7 linked regions of the Tribolium castaneum genome follow. The main gene of each other region encodes a partner of the protein of the gene in region 3 in a complex. Links are inferred from orthologs where the notes say so. Each region holds a gene or a part of one and is shown on either strand. Other genes may lie near its edges. The genes, in order: holn1, U6 snRNA-associated Sm-like protein LSm6, Prp8, U4-U6-60K, SmD1, SmD2 and SmF.

Evidence for each region.
Region 1: Prp8 (region 3) and holn1 share a complex: the UniProt entries of both Homo sapiens proteins name them as parts of the U5 snRNP complex. The link is inferred for Tribolium castaneum from reciprocal best matches to the Homo sapiens genes PRPF8 and CD2BP2.
Region 2: Prp8 (region 3) and U6 snRNA-associated Sm-like protein LSm6 share a complex: the UniProt entries of both Homo sapiens proteins name them as parts of the U4/U6-U5 tri-snRNP complex. The link is inferred for Tribolium castaneum from reciprocal best matches to the Homo sapiens genes PRPF8 and LSM6.
Region 4: Prp8 (region 3) and U4-U6-60K share a complex: the UniProt entries of both Homo sapiens proteins name them as parts of the U4/U6-U5 tri-snRNP complex. The link is inferred for Tribolium castaneum from reciprocal best matches to the Homo sapiens genes PRPF8 and PRPF4.
Region 5: Prp8 (region 3) and SmD1 share a complex: the UniProt entries of both Homo sapiens proteins name them as parts of the U4/U6-U5 tri-snRNP complex. The link is inferred for Tribolium castaneum from reciprocal best matches to the Homo sapiens genes PRPF8 and SNRPD1.
Region 6: Prp8 (region 3) and SmD2 share a complex: the UniProt entries of both Homo sapiens proteins name them as parts of the U4/U6-U5 tri-snRNP complex. The link is inferred for Tribolium castaneum from reciprocal best matches to the Homo sapiens genes PRPF8 and SNRPD2.
Region 7: Prp8 (region 3) and SmF share a complex: the UniProt entries of both Homo sapiens proteins name them as parts of the U4/U6-U5 tri-snRNP complex. The link is inferred for Tribolium castaneum from reciprocal best matches to the Homo sapiens genes PRPF8 and SNRPF.

What each region holds. Positions count from the first base shown.
Region 1 is NC_087402.1:7,512,643-7,515,405, forward strand, and holds holn1 (CD2 antigen cytoplasmic tail-binding protein 2 homolog), read right to left. Parts: upstream 1,531-2,763; 5' UTR 1,493-1,530; coding exon 548-1,492; 3' UTR 501-547; downstream 1-500. Other genes in the region: Etf-QO (electron transfer flavoprotein-ubiquinone oxidoreductase, mitochondrial), read left to right, coding at 1-481. UniProt on the Homo sapiens protein: Involved in pre-mRNA splicing as component of the U5 snRNP complex that is involved in spliceosome assembly.
Region 2 is NC_087398.1:10,391,338-10,393,415, forward strand, and holds U6 snRNA-associated Sm-like protein LSm6, read left to right. Parts: upstream 1-1,201; 5' UTR 1,202-1,249; coding exon 1,250-1,340; intron 1,341-1,393; coding exon 1,394-1,542; 3' UTR 1,543-1,566; downstream 1,567-2,078. Other genes in the region: inosine triphosphate pyrophosphatase, read right to left, coding at 566-1,138; uncharacterized protein LOC100142353, read right to left, coding at 1,567-2,078. UniProt on the Homo sapiens protein: Plays a role in pre-mRNA splicing as component of the U4/U6-U5 tri-snRNP complex that is involved in spliceosome assembly, and as component of the precatalytic spliceosome (spliceosome B complex).
Region 3 is NC_087394.1:7,721,991-7,726,066, forward strand, and holds the start of Prp8 (pre-mRNA-processing-splicing factor 8), read right to left. Parts: upstream 2,801-4,076; 5' UTR 2,642-2,800; intron 2,403-2,641; 5' UTR 2,402-2,402; coding exon 2,043-2,401; intron 1-2,042. UniProt on the Homo sapiens protein: Plays a role in pre-mRNA splicing as core component of precatalytic, catalytic and postcatalytic spliceosomal complexes, both of the predominant U2-type spliceosome and the minor U12-type spliceosome.
Region 4 is NC_087397.1:1,345,151-1,349,419, forward strand, and holds the start of U4-U6-60K (U4/U6 small nuclear ribonucleoprotein Prp4), read left to right. Parts: upstream 1-1,469; 5' UTR 1,470-1,610; intron 1,611-1,670; 5' UTR 1,671-1,674; coding exon 1,675-1,843; intron 1,844-2,984; coding exon 2,985-3,522; intron 3,523-3,569; coding exon 3,570-3,968; intron 3,969-4,014; coding exon 4,015-4,269. Other genes in the region: zinc finger protein 131, read right to left, coding at 290-577. UniProt on the Homo sapiens protein: Plays a role in pre-mRNA splicing as component of the U4/U6-U5 tri-snRNP complex that is involved in spliceosome assembly, and as component of the precatalytic spliceosome (spliceosome B complex).
Region 5 is NC_087394.1:7,020,357-7,022,772, forward strand, and holds SmD1 (probable small nuclear ribonucleoprotein Sm D1), read right to left. Parts: upstream 1,232-2,416; 5' UTR 1,091-1,231; coding exon 1,077-1,090; intron 974-1,076; coding exon 622-973; 3' UTR 501-621; downstream 1-500. UniProt on the Homo sapiens protein: Plays a role in pre-mRNA splicing as a core component of the spliceosomal U1, U2, U4 and U5 small nuclear ribonucleoproteins (snRNPs), the building blocks of the spliceosome.
Region 6 is NC_087395.1:17,190,837-17,193,003, forward strand, and holds SmD2 (probable small nuclear ribonucleoprotein Sm D2), read right to left. Parts: upstream 982-2,167; 5' UTR 882-981; coding exon 525-881; 3' UTR 501-524; downstream 1-500. Other genes in the region: Vps51 (vacuolar protein sorting-associated protein 51 homolog), read left to right, coding at 1-90, 136-244; serine-rich adhesin for platelets, read right to left, coding at 1,742-1,837. UniProt on the Homo sapiens protein: Plays a role in pre-mRNA splicing as a core component of the spliceosomal U1, U2, U4 and U5 small nuclear ribonucleoproteins (snRNPs), the building blocks of the spliceosome.
Region 7 is NC_087398.1:3,706,351-3,708,566, forward strand, and holds SmF (small nuclear ribonucleoprotein F), read right to left. Parts: upstream 1,033-2,216; 5' UTR 917-1,032; coding exon 742-916; intron 690-741; coding exon 598-689; 3' UTR 501-597; downstream 1-500. Other genes in the region: calmodulin-like protein 4, read right to left, coding at 1,324-1,739, 1,788-1,818, 1,869-1,871. UniProt on the Homo sapiens protein: Plays a role in pre-mRNA splicing as a core component of the spliceosomal U1, U2, U4 and U5 small nuclear ribonucleoproteins (snRNPs), the building blocks of the spliceosome.

The sequences.
Region 1 (2,763 bases), on a different chromosome or scaffold from region 3:
CTTCCATAATCCTTTGGGGATGTATGGAGGAGTGATGTACAGTGGATTTTCCATAATGATTGGGGGGATGGAACCGTGGACTTTCAAACATGGCGATCCCGATTACAAGAGACTCAAACCGGCCAAAGACTGTACACCTATCGATTATCCGAAGCCTGACGGTAAAATCAGCTTCGATCTCCTCTCTTCCGTTGCGCTGACTGGGACCAATCATGAAGGTGACCAACCCCCGCATCTAACCCTGAAGGACGATACCGTTCCTGTTAAGCAAAATTTGGGCATTTATGACGGGCCTGAAGGCCGGTTTTGTCCAGCAGGAGTGTACGAATTCGTCCCGCTTGAAAGTGGGGACGGTCAAAGGCTGCAAATCAACGCCCAGAACTGTATACATTGCAAAACTTGCGATATTAAAGACCCGAGTCAGAACATCAACTGGGTGGTTCCCGAAGGAGGTGGCGGCCCGGCTTACAACGGAATGTAATTAAGTGCCTTTAAGCAAATTGCTTGACTTTTTATGTATATTGATAATAAAATTTTTATAACACTGTTAGTCATACAGCTCGAAGTCTATCCGGTTCGAGGTGTAAAAGTTGGATTGTTCGCCACACTTACGCACCCACACTCCCGTCTTGAAGTACCCTTCTTTGGACCACTTTAACATTTGTGAGGTGTCGTACGGACCCTCGACTTGGTCCTTGTCTTGGTCCCACTTAAATTCCCACATTAACTGCTCTGGTTTACCTGACACTGACGCCGTCTCCATCTTCTCCTTCTCCTTGTCGCCGAAGTCGTCAGCATACATGTCCAGAACAGGCTCACTGTTTTTCGGTTTCGTTCGGTCGTCAATTTTTTTGGTAATTTCTTCAAAAGTCTCCTGGTATACGTTCATGTTCCCCGTCTTCGTTAATATACTATTCGCGATCTCGGTCATGTCCGCCACATCCTGATTCGAATTCAAAGTCCCTGCCTTCTTGCGCTTCAGTCTCTCGACACTGGACAACTTCAAATCGCCCCCTAACCGCCTCAAACACTTGTTGACCGTTTCTTTGGGTTTCATGTAGTTGAGCATCTTTTTGTACAAACCGACCTCATCGAAATCCTCAGCTTCCGACTCAGAATCACTCTCGGCCCCCAAGCCTTTCTCGTTGGGGTCCAACTGGTACTTATCGTCACTGTTGACTTTATGCCAGTCGATGTTGTCCAACCAATTATCCCGTATTTCCTTCTCGTTGTTCCAAATAAAGTGGCCCTCTTTGTCGAAATGCCCTTCTTCCATCTCCTCTTTCATGTTGAAGGCGGTCATCCGGACCCCTTCAACCTGACGCGAAATTCCCTCCTCTTCGCCCTCGATGTCGTCGGCGTTGAGCTCTTCAGCGGTCTCATCGTAATCGTCCTCTTCGTCCGAATCCAAGGAATGTTTTTTTGCGTTAAACTTCACCTGGCGCCGCTTATTTTGCGAAAAATCGCCTTCGTTGAATTTTCGTTTTGACATTTTTGACAAATGCAAAACAAACAACACGCATGCTCTCAAAACCGATCTGCACTTTTGGTTTGTATCCACGGTTAAATTTTTTAATATTTGTTTTTTTTGGAAATAATCATAATCAGCTTTTTTTACCGCAAATTTTTCACCACGCTTATTACTAAAACATAAACAACTCAAAAATATATTGTAAAAAACCCAAAAAGTTAAGAAAAACTGTAAAATTGAAATGGTATGTTTGGCAACTATCCAAGAGATGGCACAAGCTACTTTAAAATTTGTTTATACTGTGTGTTTCAAAAAAGATGTCCTCCAAATACGTGCAAATACGAATTTCTCTTATGCTCTCATTACTTATTAGCAGTCGCATATTTACATAAGGAGAAAATGGGCTATAGCCCAGAACGACAGAATTTTAGAATTTTTTTGTTACAAGCTTTATTTTTTAAATAAATTGCAAACTAAAGGTTCTGATTTTTTATGGTTGAAATAATGAGTTTTAAGATGTTTTTAATAGTTTCAAATTATATTATATTAAATTCACAATAAGTAAACAGAGAACAAGCCTGAGTACCTAATGCAAATATCTACAGAAAAAGTTTTTAAGTCAGCGACAACGTACACGTACAACTAATATTGTAGAAAAAAGTGCAAAATAGCTACGCTTTTTTTTTTAAAACTTCATAAATAAATACAGGCTGATTTTTTAACATATCTCAGAATATAAATGAGAACATTTAATACCTAGTACATGTTTGGTGACATTACTAAGAATTGTTTCAGGTTTTCCCATGTGATTTTCAGAATTATCTTGCATTTTTAGAGAATTTGTGCTAGAACTGAATTTGCTATTTGATTGACTGATTAAAAAAAGTTCAGATATTAAAAAAAATTAATTAATTTTGTATTTTAAGTTTATTAAGTTACACCTAATGCAAGATTGTAGAGCCATAAATACTACAAGCGCGTCAATTAATAATACAGTGAAACTTAGTTACAACGAACACCTAAGTGACTTCCGAATTTGTTTGTTGTAACCGATCGTTCGTTTTAACATATGGAGTAATTTTCAAGATAAATGAGTTCTAAAGTTTAAGATAGATATACGTTATGAAATAAAGTATGATTATATTTTATTAAAAGCTATATAATTACATGAGTTCATAGTTATACATATGTATACCTATAACAAATATTTTATTTATTTAATGATTTGTGTTTGTACTTAACACCTTAGCTGTTTTTAAGGTATGTTTCACTTTTGAAATCATTCTGCAATA
Region 2 (2,078 bases), on a different chromosome or scaffold from region 3:
GCACACTAAAAATAATAAATGGACTGTAAAAATAATAATTGCACAGTAAAAATAATAAATGCACAGTAAATAATAGCATCTCAAAACTAGAGTGTGTAGAATTTCACATTTCCAATTTTACGTTTTTGAGTTTAATCGTTCGAGGAGTATTTTTCCTTTTAGTTTGCTGGGGCGAAGCCCTAGACTGCAAGCTAGCTACTGAGCGTTTATTATTTAAACTGTGCAAACTGAAACTAGATCCTGTGCATATACGATTTTTTTATTGGGCAAATTTTAAAAAAATACTGTGCGTGGTTTACTTGTCATTTAAATTTTTTACTGTGCAAAAATGAATTAAATACTGATGATTTATTATTTTTTACTGATTAAAATCGAATTTTTTACTGATCGCTTTATTACTATCCTTTCAATAATGGCATTTGAGTACTAAAAAGTACTACCCCCCGGACTGTTTTGTTATAAACCTGCCGGAGAAATAAGAAAAGCGTAACAAAAAAGCACTCAAATCAAACAAAACAATTTATTTAAGTTGATTAAAGTCAAATAAAACTAAAACGACAAAACATTATTGTTTCTCTTGGTTCATAAAATGATTCCTCAGCGCGTCCAAGGCGCGGTACCGATGAGAGATTTTATTCTTCTCCTCTTTGGGCATCTCGGCGTACGTCTGCGTGTACCCCACTGGCTGGAAACACGGATCCCATCCAAAATCCCTCGGCCCCCTCGGCATCACAATCTCTCCATCCGTGCGCCCCTCGAACAGAATCACTTTGCCCCCTTCATCGCCCGGATGATATGCAAAAGTACAAACGGCCTGGGCACTCTTATCCTCATGCCCAGCCAGTAGTCGAAACAGCCCCTCAGGACCCAACTTATCCAAGAACCACTTAATATAAGGACCGGGCAAACCACCCAATGCGTTGAAACACAGACACGTGTCTTCGACGATACACGGCCCCTTGATGATTTCGTACGCCGCTTGGCATTTTTTCACGCAAATATCGGCGATTTCGCCCTGGAGCTCAGGGAGGTCCACTTTTTGACTCACCACTTTGCGTGGGAATGTCGAGCCGAGGATGGCAACCACCTCTTCGAGCTTTTTGGCGTTGCCGGTGACGAATGTTAGCGGTTTCGACATGGTTTTGCGTGAAAAAAACAGGAAGTGGGGTTATGTACATGCCGATTTGAGGTTAGGTTTTTGTCAGCCGAGGCGGTTAAATAAGCAAATTTGAGCCACAAGCTGATAAGGATGAGTCGCAAAGAAGCCCTTTCGTCTTTTATTCAACAAATTCACGCCAGGCCTGTTGTGGTCAAGTTGAATAGTGGTGTAGATTACAGAGGTGAGGTTATGTTTGTTTTTTGTCAATGAAGGGGGCTATTATTTGGTTTTTAGGTGTTTTGGCTTGTCTCGATGGCTACATGAACATAGCGTTGGAGCAAACCGAGGAATACGTCAACGGACAACTCAAAAATAAATTCGGGGATGCGTTTATTAGGGGCAACAATGTGCTCTACATAAGTACACAAAAACGTAGAATCTAATGTATTTTTTGTAATAAAAACGTTTCAAAACTCAAAGTCGTTCATTAAAGCGCACTGATCGATTCTCGTAGAGCTGTTGTATAGCTCAAATAACTCGTTATTTGTCTCACACTCTTGTTTCTTTTTCTTACTTTTAACGAGACTACAGTTCTGATATTTAAATTCATTCAATGTGTTGTCCGGAGGAGTTGGATAAAATTCACAGATGAAGTCCAATTTAATTTTACAATTGAGTGCCCTCCACGTTTTTTCAACATCTAACATGACACAGTCTTCTTTTCTTCGTCCTGGTCTTGGGTGGCCCACAGCCCAGGCCCGAAACCGCGAACATTGCAAAAAGTCCCCCATTGGAGTCTCAAAACTCCCCTCAACCGTAATGTCGTCAAGGCCAACGTATGCCCCCTTGTACCAGTTAGGCAAAGACTTGAGTAACGCAGCTAGTGCGTTCGTCCTTGCCTCAGTCAAAATATCAGCCAGGTCGCCCCCCAAATCCTGGCACCGACGTGCGGCGCTGGAATAATTCATTTTTTCCTGAA
Region 3 (4,076 bases):
TACGGAGTTTTTAGTTGTAGTTTCAATTCATATTATAGAAAATTTACGAAGAAAAATGGTAGAAAAAGCCTGAGTAGTTCACAATACAAAAAAAGTCAGAAGTCAGCGATAACGTAATATTATAGAAATGAAATAAGTTGTAAAAAAGTCACGTTTAAAAAAAAAAACTTTAAATAAATACAGTGATTTTTTCATAAATATCTTAGAAAATAGAAGAGGCATTTAAAAATCTAGTGCATGTTTGGTGGCATTACTAAGAATTTTTTCAGGTTTTTTTTTAATTTAATTTTCAGAACTACTATCTTGCATAGAGAACTAGAACTGAATTTGTAAATTCATTCCAATAAACTTGACTGAAAAAAGTTAAGAATAATACTGAATTTTAGAAAAATTCAACTGATAACAAGAATGAAATTAAAAGCAAATACTTTATTTTCTGATTTGTTATTATTAGCTTCTAATGCCCGAAAATTGATAGAATTTGTTTAATGTAAAAATAATTAGAACTTTATAACTGTTGTGGAGCAGTGTATATTAAAACACCAATATCCCAAACATTTTTAAACAGTTTATGCAGTTAACTGTTCATTTGTAGGTTTTACAAGAGAGTGGTACTATTTAAAATTTTCAAAAATGATCTATATTACAAAGGGATTTATAAGTGCTACAAATTTACAAAAAGCGAGAAAAAATGTCCCTCTATCAATGAAAATTGTCCATTTTCAGGCTTCGTATTTTTTTCTTATTTCCTGAATTAACCAATTTTTTTTAAGATAGTTTTGTCATTTAATGTAAGATTTGACAATCTTAAAACATAATCTTTAAAAGGGTTAATGAAAATCCAACTTGGACGTGCAAGTAGACATTTTTCGTTAACTCTTTCAAATATACCTTGCACATTAATGATGGATCTTCAATTCACTTTATAATCTTTAAAACACTACCAAAAAAGTTAGATAATTTAAAACAAGAAATTACCAATAAAATTAGAAAAATTTCTAAAAGCAAAATTAGACGGCAAGAGCTTAAAAAACGCTTTGGATACTGCATAGAGAGAAATGACAATCAATGAACATATCTTTAGGACCACGCTATTTAGAATATTTAGAGTACTTTGTATTTCAAATAAGTACACTACAATGTATGCCCTTTCAACAAAAAATTTCTTCTCAAAATTTGGCTCGTTTTAAAAAAATCACTGTAATGTTTAAATCAATCTGAACCACTATAAATGTGTTTGTCATTTGCTAATTTTTTTTGTAAATTCCAAATTTTGCTCTCGTTTTTGTTTTGTAAATTTATTAAATATTCTGTCTTTATTTCTCTAATTTGCAAATGTGTTTGCTGAAAGCAGATAATCCGCATCTTATTCGATACGATCTTAGATGAAAATAATTTTGTGTTTCCCAATAATATTGCAATTATTCATATTATGTTTTGAGCGTTTACTGTTTTTCCCTAAAAATGTCAGTAAACATATTTCAAATTTTACTTGTTCCAAATCTACATTTCTTTCAAAGTTTTTACGAGCTTTACTAAATATTTATCTATTCTATATACTAACCAAACATTTTATGATACAGTATAAGCAAATCTCGCCTTAAATCAATAATTTCATCATAAAAAGATTTATTTATCGCCCGCTTTTTCTAAACTTTACTACCTCATTATTAGCAGCTTGCATTCTTAAAATATTTTCATTTTCTTTGTACAGTCGTCCTTCCAAATAGCAACAGTTTTGAAAATGAATTAACCCTCCACATTTACTTTTTAAACTTGAGAAATGATTTTAAGAATCAAAATTTTTGATAAAAAATTTTCGAAATAAGCCCCAAAATTTTAATTTCATAATTGATCAAAATATAATACAAAAAAGTGTTTTTACCGTTTTCCGAAAACCGGAAAAGAATTAATTAACATTCAATTTGCACAAAAACAACGTTGTTATCAGTGATCAACAAGCTATCACTGAAGCAAACATTCAAGCAGATATTTAATACGTTTAATATTTGAATACGTTGACAAAAAAAGTGAAATTTTACCCCAAATAAACGCGTTTATCGTGTCGATATTTACGACTGCTCATGTCCCCATGATCCCTAATAATCTTCCGAATGTGCTCAGGCGGCATATCCTCCTTCTGGGCATCAACGAAGCCAAGTTTTCGTTTATCGGCAAATCGTTTCGACTGAAGTTGATGCCACTTTTGGGCTTTTTCCTGGAGTTTTTCTTCAGTCATCACATCCGACTTTGGATGTGGGGGCGGTATTTGTTGTTGTAAAGCATGAGCATGGGCCTGAGCTGCAGCGGCCTGGGCCTGGGCATGGGCTGCAGCCAGGTGCTGCTGGGCCATCATGGTGGCCCATGGGTTCGGCCCCAAAAGATACGGGGGCAGCGACATTCTGAAAGTAATATAAAACCAAGCATAACCATGTGTTAATACAGGATAATAAGTTGCGGTGATTTTAGTAATGTAAATGGTAACAATTCGTAAAAACGAAGTTAAATTGTAATCGTTTTTAGGTGGAACGTTGTTACGGTAGTTTTTACAAGGAAAGGAAACGCACTTTTTGTACTAACCGCTTCTGTACACAAATAACGAAATAAGTGAATTATCTAACTTAAATTGGTTTAAACTCACCTTGTCCTTTTAAAACTTGAACAAAATTGATAATTTTACTGTTTTAGTGCTTAAATGCATCTAAAACGTTCACTTTACGTTTTGATGCGGCGTTCATTTTCTCATTCGCACACATCACCTGCAAGCGCCATATTTACGATTATCAATACCAATCTCACAATTACAAAGAACACTAAATCCACTAAAACAGAGCAGTGGTTGTCAACTTTAAATTCTAAGCAATCGTGTTTTGTTGGTGGCCTATAATGCTTATACGAGGACCACTGATGTAGATAAATAATTAGCGTCTAGCGAAAGCAAAGTGTTTTTGCCTTCGCATATTAGCTTACGTTTGCACATTTTTAAATTCTGCCTTGTAAAAAAAATCGTGGTACAAATATTAAATACAAGGTGTTTAAACATAAGTTTACGCCTGAACCACTTATTCCGTTTAAAGCATTCTTGAAGTAAAAATAAGATAAACAATGATAATTACTAGTAATTAAAACAAGAAGAATAAAAGAATTACACTAGTTTACAATTATTTTTATTTTATCAAGAGATAATTTATACTGGTTTTGTTTTCTGCATACTCACTGATAACTAAAAGATATCTCACGTTTGTCTATCACGTCTAGTTTTTTAATATACTCACTAAGAGCCGGTTTACAGAAAGCTCAATTAAAGTTAATTGCGTTGTTAAAAGTTAACAACGCAAATGGACCAACCAAATTGCTTCACTTTGGTCACGTGATCAGTTAATCACGCATTTAATTACGAATTAAGTTAATAACGCTTTATAAATCGGTCAAGTTGTCAAGTTTAGCATTCGTTGTTTGTGAGATAAACTAATTGTGAAACATTTTATTTGCTTTAAATTTTCGTCAAGTTATTGTAGACTAAGTCCAAACAACTTTTGTTTTTTTTTTTTTTTAAATAATCCTAATAAAACCCAGGAAACTTAAGCGATCAAATGGTAAACGTTTTCGTCGAGATTTAAAGTCTTATGAAAAAAAGTTTACCAAAGTTTTTGGGATAAAAATAGTATGTTAGCCGATTACTGCTGGCTACAATAAGAGAAACTGACAGTAATCAGTGCAAAAATAAAACAATCTGTGTCATTTTTAATTTTTCAAAAGTTTTGATTCAATCTTTTTTACGGTGTCTTTGTCATTCGTTATTAACATGATTAACAAATTATTATATTTATTAATATAATACGAGTGCAAAAACACAAACTTAAAATTCGAGAACTGTTGTTATGCAACGAGCGTATGCGAGTTACATACCTAGATACCCGAAAACTTTTAATTTTTTTTTGTTGAAACATTTTAATTTACAACACGTTGCTATAAAAAACGTGTTTGAAAATAGTGAAAACAATTTTCGGTGGGGTTATAAACTAGAAGAGTTTCATTGTCACCCAAAAACATTGTCAAAATTTTGAAGCTGTAGA
Region 4 (4,269 bases), on a different chromosome or scaffold from region 3:
TTTATGCATTTGACAAAAATTATAACCTTGAAATTATTTTCGACATAAACCTTTGACATAAGTTACTAACAAAAATTTTAATAAAAAAGGATAGAAATATATACCCTATCCACATAATACAAAATTGGCTCGGTTTGACGTTCAGTGTCCCAACTCTCCCAATAAAGGAACTCTAGGGTTTTATTGACGTTGCGAGGAGAATCGATTGTTGGCAGTTTGCGGGCCAAGTGGAGTTTCTCATGGGGTCATGAAAAATTGAAGGGTTTTGCTTTTTTTAAAGGGGGCTTACGTGGTCGACGTTGATCTCTCCTTTGTACATGAACTCGACCAAGCACTTAATATCTACATATTTGACATCTTTCATGATGAGGATGGGGTCTTTTTCTTCGTACTGGGACAGGATGGTTTCGAAGTAGGTGCTGCAGGCGGAGAGGACGATCTTGTGGGCCTTGATGGTGCGCCCCTCGCAGGCCAAGGTGACGTCGCAGAAGGCCTCCTTCTCGAGGAGCTGCGAGAACATGGTCTGCAAGTTCGAATGGTGGTACCTCCATCTTAGACAATACTGTTGAGGCAGCATTTTTGGTTATGTTCGTCCAGCTTCCTTCCGACTGTTCGCGTTGGAGATGACGAATTTACCAAAAAGTAATGAGTCACCAGCGTGAGACCTTCGAAATAATCAATACTCGTCGGTTTTGGGGCCTTTGGGCGAGCGTTTGTTTTTTAAATCACCACCACTTCACTGGCACGGCACAACGCATCCGCAAGTCGACTGTTTTTGCGAGGTTTAACAATACAAAGTCCGGCCGAGGATTTCTCAAAAATTTGGAGACGCGTATGTAAATGTTCAGTCATTTGGAAAATTCCGACAAAAAATGTGTCCCTTAGTTTTTTATGAGTCAGTGAGCCAATAGAAACCACGTAAGACCCCTATAAACCATGTATAGTCCGTATATTCGCCGGGCCAAGCCTTTAAGGCAAATCAATACCGCACGTCTTAAAAAATTCTCGCGTAAAAAATCTTGGGAATTGTCGAGGTTTTTCGTCACACACAAATATTTGTCGAGAGCAACGGCTTTTCAGCCTAACTAACGGCACCAAACTCGACTAACGCAGATCCAAAACGGGGTCAAAAATTAAACCGACACAGACTCGGACTGTACTGTAATTAGGCCTTTCATATTTATTTTTATAAACTTGAGATTTTTCAGAGCCTGGGAAAGAAAGAGAAAATCTATCAACTGTTCAAGTTCAACGATCGGTCGTCGCGCCGATTTCGCACAAATTCACCGATTCTTTCACGATTTTCGCACACAAAACACCAGCACGGACATTGCACGGCTATTTAGGCGGTTTCCGCGGCACAACATCGTACATTTACTAAGATTTCCGGACCGAACTTGATAATCTCTCTCTCTCATGGAATTTTTTGGAAAAAAATTTAGACAGAGATAGCAAAACGCTATGTAAAGAAAACAGAAATATTTCTTTTGTGGAAGAAATCGTAAAAACTTGCCGTTGGCTACACTGAACTCACCAGGCGGTTTTGGTTACTTTTTTTGCGACAAATGTCAACTTGACGTTACGTTTTGAACCGATAGCAGTGATAACATGTAAACAAACGTTTTTTACGAATTAACTTGCACAAATACTCATTTTTGCTCAATTTTTAGCACCATGTCCGACGATGAGGACGCGCCTTACGTGAAAAAAACCAAAAATATTCACTACGGCTCGTTGGAGGAAGCGGAAAGAGCTAGGTTAGCAGCCGGCGATGGGAACGATGATAGCAATGAAAAGGCCGAAAGCACGTCGGCGAACCCGCCACAGGTTCACATTTCCACAGGTATTACTTTGGCATCCGTAATTTCGTCCAAATGCCAAAACCTCGCACACAAATGAGCTAAAGCTCAAGTCAACATCAGTTTAATGTAGCGCTAAAATATTCACGAAAAATCTAGTACAAGTGGTACATTATATATTTCTTATTCCTTAATGGAGCCTCGTGGCTCAAAACCCAGGTTCTGTTTTTTGTAATTTCTGTAAAACCAAATTTTGAGTCATGGAATCAAAGTTTTTTATTAGAATACTTAAAATCTTATTATTTATTTATTTATACAGGGTGAGTCAGTCATGAGTTAGTTCTGAAATCTGATGCAACCAGTAAAACTAATTCCACCTGTCCAGTTGTATTCCATTTTTTGAGTATATTGTTAACTTTATCTTAACAGTTTTGCCACTGATTTTGCTAAAACTCCTTTATGAACTACTATTTTTTCAAAAATAAAAAACCGAGTAATTTACCCTGGTATCTTTATTACATGAGAGTATTAAGAGTAAAATTTATCGTTGTAACTGATCGTTTAAATGAATTTCATCGTAATTTATCTCAAAAAAAGCTGGTAAGCAGAAGGTTAAAGTCTCAACATTGTAGCCAATATTTTCTCCAAATTCTTGTGATAAATTTTTTGCCAGTCGACATTTAGTGACATTTGAAGCGCTCAAGAGTGGCTTATTAACGGCCCAGTCAATAACTAGGTTCACATATTGACTCGAGTTGCTTTGTCATGCGAAATAATATGATTACAGATTTTTAAAAAAATATAAAACCTGAGTGATTCAGGAAAAAATCAGGTTTAATACAGCGATTAACTTGCACTTTGGCTTTGAAACTGACAGCCGCGGTGTTATTAAATCAAATGCTTTATTGCGCTATTAAATAAATAATTCGTATTAGAACTCCTTTAATGCCATAAATGCACAATAATATTAAATTGAAAAAAGTTGTGCCATAGGCCCCAGCTTTATATAATTTTTGCTTTTTAAAAAGAACAGTTTGTAGGTGTACCTACGAATGGTAAATAAAAAAAATGTTTATATAACAGCAATTATCACACAATTATTAAAAATGCGTGCTTAGGTGCCTGTTTTTATGTTAAAATCTTTCACTTGAATCTAATAAATACTGTTACGTTTAATTTATTCAGAATACATGGAGCTTGAGGACGCCATGTCCCGCGACAAGCAAGCCCTCTTGGAGGAATTCGAGCGTCGTCGTAAAGCGCGCTCTATTAACGTCTCCACCGATGACGCCGAAGTGAAACGAAACCTTCGCCAATTGGGAGAACCGATCTGTCTATTCGGGGAAGGACCGGCAGATCGGCGTTCACGCCTCCGTGAAATACTAAGTCGTATCGGTGAAGACGCAGTCATTCGACGCGAAGCCGAAGAAGAACGTAAAAATTTCGAAAAAGATCTCGAAACAACGTGGTATCATGAAGGCCCCGAAAGTTTGCGAATAGCCAGATTATGGATAGCGCACTATTCACTGCCGCGGGCCAAAGCCCGGCTTGAGGAAGCCAGAAAAGCGAAGGATTTATCAACGGCTACTAGAACAGCCAAGAAGCAGGAAATACAGAAAAAACTCCAGATTATGTCGATTTATTCGAGTCAGATTGGCGATTCGAGACCTATTGCCTATTGCCAGTTTAGTCCAGATTCGAAACTTTTAGCCACAGCTGGATGGTAATTATCATTTAATAAGTGAAATGAAATTATTTGTTTGATTCAAGGAGCGGGTTGTGTAAAGTGTGGTCAGTGCCCGACTGCACACTCAAACAGACCCTGAAAGGTCACGCCTGTAATGCCAGTGCTATTATTTTCCACCCTAGAGCAACAATCAGCCAGGAGGAAAATATTTGCAATATGGCATCGTGTGCAGCCGATGGTTCAGTAAAATTGTGGGATTTTCAAAGCGAGGAACCGATCGCTGATATCGAGGGCCATATGCCACATCGTGTCTCCCGGTTGGGCTTTCATCCCTCTGGAAGGTTTCTCGGGACTTGTTGCTTTGACTGTTCCTGGAGATTGTGGGATTTGCAGCAATGCACCGAAGTTTTACACCAGGAAGGACACGTCAAACCTGTCTATTGTATTTCCTTCCAGATTGATGGATCGGTCTGTGCCACAGGGTAAATACTTTTGGTAAATTGTGACAAATAATTAATTTCCCAACAGTGGTTTAGACTCATTTGGACGTGTGTGGGACTTGAGGACCGGAAGATGCATCATGTTCATGGAGAGTCACTTAAAGGCGGTTCTAGGGATAGATTTTTCCCCTGATGGCTACCACATTGCCACGTCTAGCGAAGACAACACTTGCAAAATTTGGGATTTGCGCAAACGTTCCGTCTTGTACACAATCCCAGCTCATACGAATTTAATTTCGGAGGTGAAGTTTCAAAGGGACGGCGGCGATTACCTAATTACTTC
Region 5 (2,416 bases), about 700 kb from region 3:
TTTTTGTATTGAAAGTAAGAGAATGTTCCTAAATTTGTAAAATAATTATTAATATAAAAAAAATTGAGGTTAAATAAAGTGATAGTCCATCTGTTTCTGTATTGATAGTCAGTGTTTAAGACCACCCGAAAAATGGGGCTATCTTTAGGAGAATGTTCCGTCATGAAGGAGGTAATCAGTAAAACGTTAATTTTACCAAACTCATTTAACCATTTGTAGATAACAAAAACAGAAGAAGCAATCAAAGCCTGTTACGTGAGGGTCCAACTTTTAGAAAAAAAGATCGAATCTGATGAAATCCCCAACGAGAAAAAAGCCGACATGAAGAAAGAGTTACGAGAAGTTCGCAAACTTTTAACCACAAACGAAAACCAACTTTCACAACTCCACAGACACAATCGAAAATCATTCGCATTTGTAGCCGCCTTCTGTTTTGTTTGTTTCACAGTTTACGTTTTATACATTTTAGTACAAGGTCCCGATTTTTAATAACAAAGACATTTTAAACCTAAATATGTTTTATTGATGAATTTAGCAGAATTATAAAAGTTTTACAAATACTGGAACTAAACGAAAAGATTCACACTTACAATTACGAAACTTAATTTAATGAACGTATTCTTATCTACGCCCTCTCCCTCTGCCCCTGCCTCGGGGGCCCCCTCTGCCACGGCCCCTCCCGCGGCCTCTGGCAGCCCCCCGGGCGCTCTCCTTCTTCTTGGCCTTGGCTTTGGGGGTGTCGTCAATCAGCAGAGTCTCGAGGGGTAAACTATCGGGCAAAATGTAGTAACGAATGTTGTTTCCTCTAACTGTTAGGGTGTCTAAGTTCACAGGATTTCGGTTCTTTACAGTCACTTTTACAGCTTTTAAGTGCGTATTCATGGCCACATCTACACCGGTTATAGTGCCATGGACTTGTGTGCCGTTTTTCAGCTCCATTGTGACCGTTTCATGGCTCAGTTTCATTAAAAACCTGAAAATGGCCGAAATGTTAGGTTAGGTGGTTTTTCAGGAGTTTTACTTGGAATTCAAGGAAATAAAAACGTGTCTGATCAATCAGTAGTTTACGTTCTCACCTTACTAATTTCATGTTGATATTTTTGGTGTAATTAAGACAATTTTTATATTATGCCGGCAAAACACGCTTGGCTTACGTTTTTTTACCCCCCCTCTTCCATAGAGGGAAAGAGAATGAGCATATAAGAAAGAGATGGCAAGAAAACTTGCGAAGGGAGCGCCACTTACGTGGCGCCAATTTTAAATCGTTATTTTTTTTATAGGTTTGCAGATAATTATGGACTCTGAAAATAAAAACAATTCTTTATTATTTACTATTATCACAGCTATTATCAAAATAACCTTGCTATTGGCACGTAGTAACAATGAAATATTTTGCTTTATACAGTCGAACTTCGATCACCCGAATAGGCCGTTGCCACTTCAAATCATCTTTGTAGAATACAGTGGAATAATACTTTTGTTGAGTTCAAGTGATTCCTGTTATTATAATATGAGCAATTTTTTTAACTAATCCAACAAAGTGTTTACCTTAAAAATCTCAACTCTCTCTAGTGCATCTAGTGTTCTTGTTCTTAATTTTTATTAGTTGCGTGTTTTTAGTTAATTAATTAATTAAACAAAAATTCGTGTTATAAAAATTTTTCGAATTCAAAATTTGAAATTGAACAAAATAATTGGTGGAGTCGGTTTATCCCCGTTCGGGTGACAGGGGTTCCACTGTATGAATACATTTTGCGGAGAAAAATTTAAGATTAGGTCGATTATATAAATTATATGTTAATAAGAAGTTAGAAAATACTTATCTGAAAAGTTAAAAAAAGTAATTTTTGACTTGTTTTCGCCTAAATTATAACTATAACATGAGAAAGATACGTTTTTAGTTTGACAGTTTTTGAGTGAGGCTTCAAAATTGCTGAAATTATGTGGACACGATTATAATGGGCAAAATTAGATTATAGGATAAGAGGGTTAACCTACAGAAATTTGGGCATAATTATTCACTGTACATAATAACCCCACTCTCCCCTACCTAAAGTATTTGAAAAACACTTGTTACTGATTAATTTATGTTATTTATTACAATATTAGAATAGATAACACAAAACTAGTAATAATCATTTTCGCAAGATCTCGGGTCCGGTCGCAACTCTGACCTCTGTCGAAAGAACTGAAAAATTCCGGTTAGTTTTAAGTTATCAAATGACTACGTTGCAAGTACAAGTTTATTAGTACAATTTTATTAAAATGTTACTTAAATAAAACCATTTTTACCCAAAAAATTTACAAAAAGTCATTTTTGGATACAAATTTTCTAGTTTTACTTTTTTGAATTATGTTAAAAGACTAGGTGGTTATTTACCAGTGAACGATCGATTATGAAATTTAAATAAAAAAA
Region 6 (2,167 bases), on a different chromosome or scaffold from region 3:
GAAGACTTTTAGTAAATTTGGCCTCCAACAAATTCAAGTGGACACGCATTACTTGCAGTTGTATTTGTGGCGATTTGTTGCGGATGAAAAGTACGTCACGAATTTGAATTTAGTGAAATTAATTGAATTTTCCAGCTTGGTTCATTTCCTCCTGGATGAGATTTTGGGATCAGCAGTCCACAGGTGCCTGGAACCGATTTTAATGGAACCAAGCGTTGTGGACATCATATGTGAAAGGGGTTAGGTCATGCAGCTTGCATAAGTTACAAATATTTATTATTCTTTTGTATTATCTTGTTTAAATAAAAAGGAGAAATTTTATCACATTTTGTTGTATTATTTTTATAGATAAATGTTAAAAAACCGTTCAATCTTTCATTTGCAACGACATGAATGTGATATTTCCACAGTATCACGTTCGCGGTATCAATCAACCGCAGAACAGAAGGACCACACGAGTGAAGTGATAGGTAAGTGAATTTCCTCAATAAACACTAAACTGAAGATACAAATTTTATTCCTAATTAACCACTAGCCGTAGCTAGGGGGTTCCTTACAACTATAATAACCGCATCGCCTCGCAGAAACATTTTCGAAATGAACCGATCCTTATTTACCGGCTTGGCTTTCTTCTTCCCCTTTCCAGGCCGGGGCAGCTCTGTCCACATTTCCTTCACATTCTCCAACACTATGTTGCAGTGCCGATCGAACGCCTTCACCCGCCCCAGCAATTTCTTGTTGTTTCGGCAGTTTATCAGCACCTGAGTGTTGTTCTTCACCGACTGAGTGAGCACCGAAAGGGGGCCCGTGTTGAACTCTTCCTCCTCGCGAGCCTGAAGCTCCTCGGCCGTCATTTCAGACTTGGGTTTCGTTAAAGCCATTCTGACTCGGTTTTTGCACTTAAAACAACACTTTTTCCGGCACAAAAATAGTTAGGTTAGGAATTTGAGCGTTTTGGATGCGTTTGGGGAATTTTGCAATGCGCATGCGCAAACTGGGTTTAATACTATGGCGGCAGATTCAAACATTTAAAGTGAAGAAAACAAACTTCGAATTAAATCAACAATTATTCTTCTCACATTTAAAGTTACATTAAGATTACTCTTTTGAATAATTAATTAAGAGTTTTAACATACTCAAAAACCACGATCTAAAAACTAATTACAAAATCGAGCAAATAAACCAATTTATAATCCATTGAGATGAAGACGTTAAATATAAGAGCAACAAGCTATTAATGAATCAGATAGGGGAATGCACCGTTTATTATAATTTAACTAGAAAATGTAATAAATATTGCAAATACGAGTATTGCAGTGCATTTTTCCAACGAAGGGAGTTTAATTCCCAGCAATTTGTTAGCCCCAGAATCGAAAATTAAATAATTACGATAAACAATAATCACTCTTTATTTATAGTAAGTATAACAATAAGAGATAACCAGTGCAAGTAATTATTCCAGCAGCGTGTTTATTTAAGTATACAAGCAATGCCAACGCAAATAATAATAGAATAATCATTAAAATGCAGTGAGGAGCCGATAAACCACCCCGTCCCGCTATATAAATTAAATACTTGAAGAAACGCACCAGAAGAAAGCCTCTTGTCCACCCGGTATTAAGTAGTTGCGCCGAAGGTGATGTTTTTGAAATCTCCTCGGTCTGGCTGCTTTATACCGCATGGATGAAAATCACCAAAAAAAGTCTGTTTTCTTGTCACACGTTGTCAGATTTAATAATTCTTAATTCGACTTCCTCATTTGCGGCGTTTCCTGTCGCCGCCCGTCTAAGGTCCCGCATTTGAGGCTTCGTTTTTCATGAGTTCGGTCTTCGTGTGCCTACCTTAATTCAATTAATCAATTGACCAGATGAATGGAATAAAGTTCATATGTTTGACATCGACGATGAACATATTTAAATCTCGTTAGGGGCCACTTCGGACTAAATAGGATAATAGCCGATGCTTACGGCTGCTTGCTGAATGCCTCTTGTGTCGAGATACACGCGCTGTATTCAATGATATTGTTTGTGTTGGGCAATTTTCTATTTTTGACGCAAGTGTTTATAAGAGTGGACTTTTGCTCAGGTAATTTTTGGGGAAATGTAGAGTAGTTCTATGTAGAGGAGTTTGATTTGGAAATGATTTTCCGGGCGTTTATACGCGAAAA
Region 7 (2,216 bases), on a different chromosome or scaffold from region 3:
AAAGGGTTTTTGAATTTTTTCGCTTCGGCCCAAAAAATATTTTTAGTATTTGACTCTTCATTTGATGACACTTAATTTTTTTTTAATTTTTCTTGTGACCAATGTGTGCCAAAGTTATCAAATTAAATTAAATTGATGCTTTTTAAAATATAAAGTATGTTTTGGCTCCCTCTCGGGTAAATGCAAAAGCAGGTGTATGAGAGGTAACTGTAAGTGCAGGGGAACTTTCTTCAGTTGTGCTGCTATCTGTTCGTTTTGCCGTTAACTACAAGGATTTAATTTACATTTTTGGTACTTAATTATCATTTCCTTATTCCATTATAATTATTTATAGAACACTGTATGTATCCCCCACTTTATAGCGTCCTTTAATGTTAAACAAATAAATATATTTTTGTATTTTTTTTCAAAAGCAAGTTCTCTTGTTTATAATCCGTAACAGTTTGTGTATTTTTTTTGTGGTAGACAATCGTAACGTTACATGTAGAAAAAAAAACAAGTACTTTAACACGATTTATTTGGTAAAAAATTAAATCTACAATACTTATTTACGTAAGTATCCGATCGTACATTTAAACTTGAATTTACATTAAATAATTAATCCTTCGTCTCTCCCTCCTCGTCCTCTTCTTCAGCCCCTCTTATGAACAAGACATTGTTACATCTAATTAAAACTTCCCCTAAGTTACCTGTAAAAAAATGTTACACAAGGGGGTCCGCCTCCAAAGCATAGTTACATACCAGTCATATTCCCATCAATAAATTCCTCTGTGTTTGCTAATTGTAAATTCATGTAACCATCAACTGAGACAAGGTAACCTTTATATTCGTGCCCCCACTTCAATTTTACCATCACAGCCTTGCCTGTTAGGCCGTTGAGGAAAGGTTTGGGGTTTATGGGCATTGCGGTCGACATGGTTGTTGTTTTTGTGTGCAAAAAATCGCAAATAAACTAAAAACGTTGACACAACGCTAACCAGCAAAAGTGAGGTTGGAATCGAGCGACAATTGTGTCAATTGTCAAAATTTCCATCCACCATCGACGTATAAAAAGTTGATGGGTGTCTGATTTTTTAGGGCGCATATTGTTTTTTTGTGATTCTTGGACTAAAATTACCGTAATTAAAAAAAACAAGGATTGTGGTCAATTAATGATTTATTGGCGTTAGAATAAATAACTGTGCGGGGGTTGATTGCCGGCTCTCTATTTTACCAAACCGAAAAATCATTGCCAACCCCCCAGTGCGAAAATCCGAAAATAAAAATTTGTGACATGTGTTTTACATAATTTCGTGGAAAAGACTGTGTTAGGGTAAGCCCCCTCTAGTAATAATCCGGCACTGGTGCACAGGCAATCTTAACAAAATCCTCGTACCGCACCATACTGTTGTTATTAACATTTGCCTCTCTGAAAATCCGATCAATTTCCTTGGCCGAAAGACACTCGCCCCAGTTTTGCAACATGTGACGCAGCTGCTTGGCCGGAATCACCCCTTTCCCCTCCGGGTCCCCAGCCTTGAAGGCGTCCACCACCTCCTTGGGCACGTTCTCCACCCGTGAGTGAATATGCATAACCTCCAAGAAGTCAGCAAAGCTCATTTTGCCGTTCTTTTGCTTGAAATAACCCGCAAGCTCTGAGATGGTGGGCGACAGCCCCAGACTCCTCATTATCACTGTGAGTTCGTCCAGGGACTTGATGTGCCCCGAGCGCGCAAACAAGTAGAAACACTCGCGAAATTCTACAAGATTTACGAGTTAGTTTGGGGGGCTATCACGGGGGTACCTACCGTCAATGTCTTGCTCCTTGAAGTAGCGGGCCTGAAACAAGCTTGATTAGGTTTGGGGTGGGTTTAGCGGGTTATTTTTACCATTTTTCTTGTAAATATTTACACGTCAATTGTATTATTATTATCAAGGTGAAACAGGTGAAAGTACAGTTAGCGTCACGAAATTTGGCACAGACTCGTCATTAATGAATTATTTATTTTTATCTCTGATAAAATGATGATTTTATCGCCCAATTGTGCCAGGTAATTGTTTGGGGCCCCGATTAGTGGGAGCCCTTAATCAGGGTTGTAAACCCCCCGAACGAATCGATTTATCGCCTCATTTCTAACGTAATTTATTAATAAATAAAGTTATATAACAAAACAGCTCGTCATTTGCGATAGTCTTATCACTCCACGCTTAGATGTTGTTAAATCCCCGTCCAATTA